Linked DNA regions of Nothobranchius furzeri. The protein of the gene in region 1 interacts with the protein of each later gene in a pairwise test. Links are inferred from orthologs where the notes say so. Each region holds a gene or a part of one and is shown on either strand. Other genes may lie near its edges. The genes, in order: gpn1 and gpn2.

The links.
Region 2: the proteins of gpn1 (region 1) and gpn2 interact in binary tests that used the Homo sapiens proteins (3 or more experiments, as listed by UniProt). The link is inferred for Nothobranchius furzeri from reciprocal best matches to the Homo sapiens genes GPN1 and GPN2.

Annotation. Positions count from the first base shown.
Region 1 is NC_091749.1:65,752,971-65,755,863, forward strand, and holds the end of gpn1 (GPN-loop GTPase 1), read left to right. Parts: intron 1-845; coding exon 846-992; intron 993-1,081; coding exon 1,082-1,164; intron 1,165-1,273; coding exon 1,274-1,313; intron 1,314-1,379; coding exon 1,380-1,470; intron 1,471-1,547; coding exon 1,548-1,652; intron 1,653-1,784; coding exon 1,785-1,891; 3' UTR 1,892-2,126; downstream 2,127-2,893. UniProt on the Homo sapiens protein: Small GTPase required for proper nuclear import of RNA polymerase II (RNAPII). May act at an RNAP assembly step prior to nuclear import.
Region 2 is NC_091745.1:40,677,125-40,681,381, forward strand, and holds gpn2 (GPN-loop GTPase 2), read right to left. Parts: upstream 2,918-4,257; 5' UTR 2,579-2,917; coding exon 2,159-2,578; intron 2,090-2,158; coding exon 1,933-2,089; intron 1,793-1,932; coding exon 1,632-1,792; intron 663-1,631; coding exon 532-662; intron 344-531; coding exon 271-343; 3' UTR 17-270; downstream 1-16. Other genes in the region: gpatch3 (G patch domain-containing protein 3), read right to left, coding at 3,247-3,430, 3,519-3,646, 4,161-4,257. UniProt on the Homo sapiens protein: Small GTPase required for proper localization of RNA polymerase II and III (RNAPII and RNAPIII). May act at an RNAP assembly step prior to nuclear import.

The DNA.
Region 1 (2,893 bases):
GTACAGGTGTGATAGTTCAATAGCAGAAAATAGTTCAATAGCAGAAAAACAACATGCTATCACCTGAATTGTCTTACAGCTGCTATTTGTGACGACTGCTGCTTTTTGAGGTGTGCATGATTTGCTTGACAATAATAATTTTGGAAGAGTTGTGCAACACAACGAATCGATGACGCAATTCATTGCCAACGCTTTTAATAATCAGTTTTCATCGATTTGTTGTTGCAGCCCTACTTCCTACTGAACATGTTAATGAGACATATGAAGTTCTGATCGGATGTGGATATTATTAAATATGTGACTTTGAGGAACGTGACAACCTAAATACTGAAATGCAGGTGAAATTTGTACAATAAAATGTTAACTACAAATATCAGATAGGAAAAGGGGAACTAGACAACACCAATGTAATACATGCTTGAGCCTTTCAAAATAAGAGTCTGAAGTCTCAGCCTCATTATATAGTTTGATTTCACGTTTAGCAGAAGACCACAGTCTGGTTGGGGCGTCGTTGGTGTGTTCTTACTGTGTCTAGTTTCTGCAAAACATCCTCAGAGCTGACGCCGATGGTGGCGTCACTTCCTACTCTGTTTATCCGCGGATAGCAAAGGACGATGTCGCCCTCTGCTGCCCGCTCTCCCCCCTCCGATGATGCAGTCCCATGCACGATCCAAGCGGGCGGGCAGCAGAGGGCGACAACAGGCTAGCTGCTTGCACCCTAAGCCTTGCTGTGCACTTCGCTGAGGACCGTGGGATGCAGTGCGGCTAATGGGACCAGGCCATAGACACAGAAGAAAGACCTCCAGCTTTGTAGTTCTTGCTGAAGGGTTGTCTCGATGTTGCAGACTGACATCATCGACCACAGCTTTGCAGTGGAGTGGATGCAGGACTTCGAGGTCTTTCAGGATGCTCTTAACCAGGAGACGTCATATGTGAGCAACTTAACCCGCTCCATGAGCCTGGTTCTGGATGAGTTCTATACCAACCTGAGGGTAAGACGCCACCTTGGCGAGGCGACTGTGTGTGCGTGTGAGTGTGAGAGAGAAGATGAAGAGCAGAGCTGTGACATCTCTGTGGACAGGTGGTGGGCGTCTCTGCAGTGACAGGAAGTGGATTGAAGGAGTTGTTTGCGCAGGTGGAGGACGCTGCCAAAGAGTACGAGAGGTGAGTAAGGACACGAAGACACGGAAAGCTCTTCTGTCAACATGGCCGTCAGGATCGAGGTTTAGAGGTCATAGGTCAGGAAACGTAACTGAATTTTGTTCCTCTGTAGGGACTATCGTCCTGAATATGAGCGTCTCCGTAAGCAGCTGGTGAGTGTGTGTTCCAGTGTTGTCTAGGTGTGTTTTGCTTGTCTTATTGTACTTCCTGGTCTCCAGGCAGAACTCCAGAGCAGGAAACAGCAGGAGCAGCTGGAGCGTCTCCGGAAGGACTTGGGAGCCGTGAACATGACCTCCGCTCCATCTTCAGGTAAACAGACAGGAAACCCCTCCACCCCGCTGCAGTAAAATTCTGATTTGATAAGATCGGTAACTTCCCTTTCTCAGAAGAGGCTGATCTCACAGGACCCAGTGACCTCATCATGACTCGGGGAAACCTGGACGACGACCAGGAGGAGGTGGACAGCGATACAGATGACATCGACCACAGCGGTGAGACACGAACACAAACACCATTAGCATTTTAACCTTGCTTGATTTTGCCGTTAGTGAGAAACATGGCTGCTGATGTGGGTGGGGCTTCAGTGAGAGTACCTGTTCATTAGCTGTTGACTTGGTTTGCAGTGACGGAGGAGAGCAAAGAGAACGACGCCTTTGGAAACTTCTTGAAGGAGAGAAAGGAGGTGGTTCAGGTTCGAAACAAGAAGCGTGTGCAGCCCGATGTTCCCTGACCTCTGACCCCATCTCGTTTTTGGACTCAGACTATCACATGGAATGGATCCTGTCAATGTAGAACATTTTAAACTGACTGATGACCTCTGACCCCTCATTCAAACTGGTTTTCCAGCATCGTCAGCCTGGGCAAAAAAATAAATCTATTTTTCTATTTGTTTTGTCTCGTTTGTTTTTGTTTGTGTTTTTGAGGATGGAAAGATACACGATCAACAAAATAAAACTTTAGGTTCATGCTGGTCCAAGTCCTTGTCTTTTGGAATGAATGAGAGAACGCTCAGACGAAGGGAGTGCAGACAAACTGATATTAATACGTGTTTTTCTGCTGTCGGGTGAAACGAACCCAGTAGTTTCTTATCCAAGCATCCGTCCATCCAGTCAGGCTCCCGCTCCAATAGAAGCAGGTTCAGCTCCACGCCTTCCTTTCTAACGTCTCTGCGGCATTTTAACACTCAAATGTTCTGATTGTTCCGGTTTTTATGTCCTGATTTTTCTGCAAACGTGTCCAAAATGTTCAACATTACTGAATCAGGATCCCTTCTGTTTGTTTTCAGTCACTTCAGTGATGCTGAATTCAACTCCGTTGGTCCTACAGCTGACAGATCTGGGCCTATTCTGAGCCAGCTGCAGTTTAGCTGTGTGTGTGTGTGTGGGGGGGGGGGGGGGGTGGGGGGTGGGGTGCTTTTACTTTATTTCCCTAATTTATTCTCCAGTTGTGTCTCTTCTGGACTAGGATTAGGTCTGCCTGATGGGTAAGGGACTATTGAGTTTGATGTTTCAACAACGCTGCGCAGGCTGGAGGCGAGCGTGAATCCTGCATCGACTTTTAGCTCCACACTCGTTTTCTGCTGAGTGAGTCAGCAGCACCTCTATCCGACCACGCTGCTGGCTCTGGATCTCAGCGAGTGTGTGGGCAGAAGCATGATGGCAGATGGCTGTGGGCAGCCTGATTTCATTCAGACTTTAAATTGTCAATGGAGCTGACGGGTGCTGATCAAGAA
Region 2 (4,257 bases), on another chromosome or scaffold:
TTAGAACATCTATTATAAAAAAACAGTTTCTGTATTTATTGTAGTAAAAGTAAAAAACAAAAACAAAGTAATGGCGCTGCTAAACAAAGCTCAGCCGTTGCTCTCTTCTGCGTTCCTCGTTGTGGTTCCTCCGAGGTGTGGTGAAACTATTTTACTGTGCGGCAGCCAAATTTAGTTCCCGTCTATCCAGCTCTCTTGTACCACGGATAAATTCAGGACGGCCAAGAGCGATGTTGCCAAGTCTGAACAGGTAAGTCTGAGCTTTCTGTTTTAAAGCTGCATTATTTCCTCCTCCACAGTCTTTGCACTGGTTTCAACGTACTTCTCTTGCACACCAAGAGCACTGCAGGGTGGAACGTCAAGAAAAACCCAAACAAGATGAGTGAATGGTCTATTTATATAACCATGCTGGTAGGGTCATTAACTAATATGTCAGTGATGAAATAGAATCCTAATTAAGTGCTAAGTGGTAAAAGTGGCTTCAGGTCTGAAGTGAAAACAGATGAGTCATCAGAGTTGGGGAAAGGATACGAGCTGAACTGGAAGTCTGCTCCCACTGCAGCTGACATCATCGCCTGCAGATTTCTCTCCTCCAAGTCACCAAAGCAGTAGCCGTTGGCCTTGTCCACCGCTCGCAAGACCTGAATCATGCTCTCTTTGTCCTGGAGAGAAAAAAACAAAACAAAAGCACGTCATCTGGGATTTCCTCGTAAAAATTCTCTGAAACTATTTAAATTAGTCGACCAAAAACCTGACAAAATCCTGTTGGAGGTCCTTTGTATTTGTTCTTTTCCTGACTTATAACAGCAGGTAATCTCAGTATCCGCTAAACTTTTCAAATCTAGTTTCATCTTAACCCAGTTGCGTTTATCTCCTTCCAAGGATTTCTGAAGCCTTCTTGGAAACGCGGTGACTCCACAGCCTCCCGTGTTTTTGTTAATCAAGGTTTGGTTCTGGGAGATAAGCTGCACACAAAACCACAAGTAGTAAAGGTCTTTGACACAAGGTCAATCTTTCAAAAAAATATACTCTCAGGGTCAAAAGGTAGGCTTTCTTGCTTTTTAAATCTGTGCTAAATACCTGAGGTTACCTAGGTAACAAGTGGCTGCATAGGCTGGCTGGGGCATTCCCATCCTCACCACTAGAGCCGCTGTGTCTATTGTGTGGGTCTCTTAGAGTAATCAAACAGTTTTCCAGTTAAAAGTAATGTCAGGGACAAATGTGGTGTTTCATGTTAACTGTCCGTTCCATCGGAGGATAACTGCGCCAATCTTCAGGTTCAAATGCTAAAAGCAATTCATGATGGTCTGGTTTGAACTGAGAAATAGGAGGTGAGTGACCTGTGATTTCTCTGAACAGTTAGAAAGCCAACGTCAGACCTTAAAGTGATTTCTACGGACGTTCTGTGGGAACTCCGTCTTTGTAAAATCTACGAGCAAAAACGCACCAAAGAACTTGGTGCTCAGACCTCTGAGTGTACTAGAGCACCTTTGGTACAAAACTAATCTCAAATGAAATGCAAACGTACGTAATAAATATCCACTTGTGTGGTTTTACAGCTCAGGCAACAGGAAGCGGAAGTGTGAACCTTTAAAAAGCCACAACTGCACAACTAAAACCCGCAGTGATACCTGCACACTGAGAGGGACAAAGGAGACCAGGCTGTAATCTTGTATAACTTCGGCCAACTTCTCATTAAGGCGGCGAAACTTTTTAAAGAACGGATCTGCAGCCAAGTGATCGAGGAGAAAGGTCAGGTCCAAAACTTCGGTGTAAAAATCCAGGTTGAAGGCTGTAAATAAGGACAATAAGTTGAATGCTTGGTGTACAAGTTAGAAAACTATGCGTGTCATTCGAGAGAAACAAGCCACATTTATATTGTGTTTCCTGTTTATTTTGTATTTAGTTACAGCTAGCAGCTCTTGGTTTTACCTAGTTTTCCATACTGCTCAATCAAATCCATCTTAGAGAGGACATTGACGTGGGGCAGCTCCACGTGCAGCATGGTGGAAAGAGACGTGCACAGCACAGAGATGAACTTGGCTGGGTCAGCGCAGTAGTGAGAGTCCACAAGGTGCACCGCTGTCAGCTAAGGAGACGATTAGTGGAAAATCATCACCATCATGAGCATCTAGGGTGAAGAATGATCCCAACTTACCCTGAAATTCCACTTGGCCAGCTGTGAGAAAATGTTCTTTACTGAATGTTGGTGTGTGTAAAGCTCCACCTGACCGGGACAGTCAAACAAAAAGTAACAGTCTCTGTATTGTGCCAGCTTGCTCTCCAGCCAGTCCAGGTTCGTCTCCACATACTCCATACAATAGAGAAGTCCCCCGTTGGGTCCAAGCTTCAGATTCTCCATAACATCATCCAGAGTGACCAGATCTGAGATGTCCACCGCGCAGGAGCACGGTTTTCCTTCATTAGCTGGGTCCATGTTCACCACGACCACCTTGCGTCCCAGACTAGTTAGGAACTGCTGCATGCCCTGGCAGTAAGTGGTTTTACCTGAGCCCGGGGGTCCGATGACAACCTGACCGAAACGCAGTTGGGGCTTTCCTCCGGTCTCAGAGGTCATGGTTTAGAAATGCTCTCATCAGGCTGAGGGAGTTCACATCGGATGAGACCAGAAGATGTAAAAGGAACAACAACAACAACAACAACAACAAAAGACGTGCTGATGTGGCGTTAAAAAGGGCTCAGGTCAGTTTAGCTTCCCGCGTGAACGTTGTAACGCACTAAATGAGTTTTAAGCGAGTCGCTACACCCAACTAAGTTCTACAACTTTATAAACGTGCGACTCTTTGATCCAAAACACAACCTCAAACGAACAGAAATGCGCTGTAGCTGCACGGATTTGTTCATAAACACCAATGCGAGCCACACGTTGCGTACAAATGAATCAACACATAACAAATGCTAGCTTAAGCTAACAGGAAATACGTCCGGGTTAAAGGTCACGCTTGTCAAAATAAAAGCACTTTACGTAGCAGCGCAGCTCGAATGAAGAAACCCGGTTAATTTTGAGAGCACTTTAGTTTACTTTATCGCTACTTTGTATCACTTTATTATTTGCTCTAAACAATATTTGAATACAAAAAACAATGCTTAATGGAACATTAGGTTTCTCTGACTGAATTAATAAAAACGATTCTCAAATAATCTGAGTAAGTTAAAAATGCTTTAATACAAACTTGATACAAATATCAAACAGGTTAATATACAGATTTTATCAAACAGAACCAGTCATCTTTTTAAACCAATGACTCCCCCTGGTGTCCATCCTCTGTACTTCATGCTGGTGTTAGGTTGGCGTCTCAGTAAGGTGTCACCTTTATCAATGTCTTTAGGTTTATCGTACACTGTACATATGAGATGGTTTGTTTTGGCCTTTTTTAATGGATGCAATAACAGTTTTTCTCCATGATACCTGCAAGAAAACAAAACAAAACATCAGTATCCGATCGTTTTGTTTGCTCCCAGCTGTTGACTGATTGTGTTTCCGTGTTTTAACTGACCCAAAGCCCCTCTTGCATTTGGGATGTTGACCCTCATTCTCCAGAGCTTCAGAAATCCCAACCTGGCTGTCTCCCAGTCCCTCGCCATCTTTCCAGCCCTGCCTTTCCATTATGCGTCGACCAAAACCCTAAACCAAATAACATTTACTCTAAATTATTATTACAAAATAAAAAAATTCTCATCAAAAGAGCACACAAGAATGCAGAGAAATATTTGTGTGCACGCACCAAATCAGTGTAAATGAACTGATTCTGGATGTCTGGTGAATACTCAGCAATGACTGGTGAGGGGCGTTGCTGTAGGTGTGTGAGTGTGTTATGTCATGGTATATAAAGGTTATGTCCATAGACGTGTGGGTATTTATGTAGGAATGTGGAAGTGGGGTGAGCTGGGGGATGCCATGTTTTGTTTTGTTGACCGTGTTAAATGATCAAGGTTAACCTCCCACTACTTGTACCTGGTCAGCCTGTGTCTCAGTCTGATGAATGAATCGGGATTGAACGAAGAAAGAACGGATTAAATGAATAATGTTGGAAAGAAGCGGCTGGTATTATTGACCGGGCACGCGTCGGACAAACTGTTCCTCCAAGTTCAGCCCACGGTGGACCTCAAACACAACCACAACAGCATCTTGCCCTTACCTTAGAGAACCTCTCAAATCTTCCAATCGACTGATTGTGCCCTGATCCATCTTCAAGACCATCCCTAAGTCTCTTTTCATATCGCATGCTGACGTAG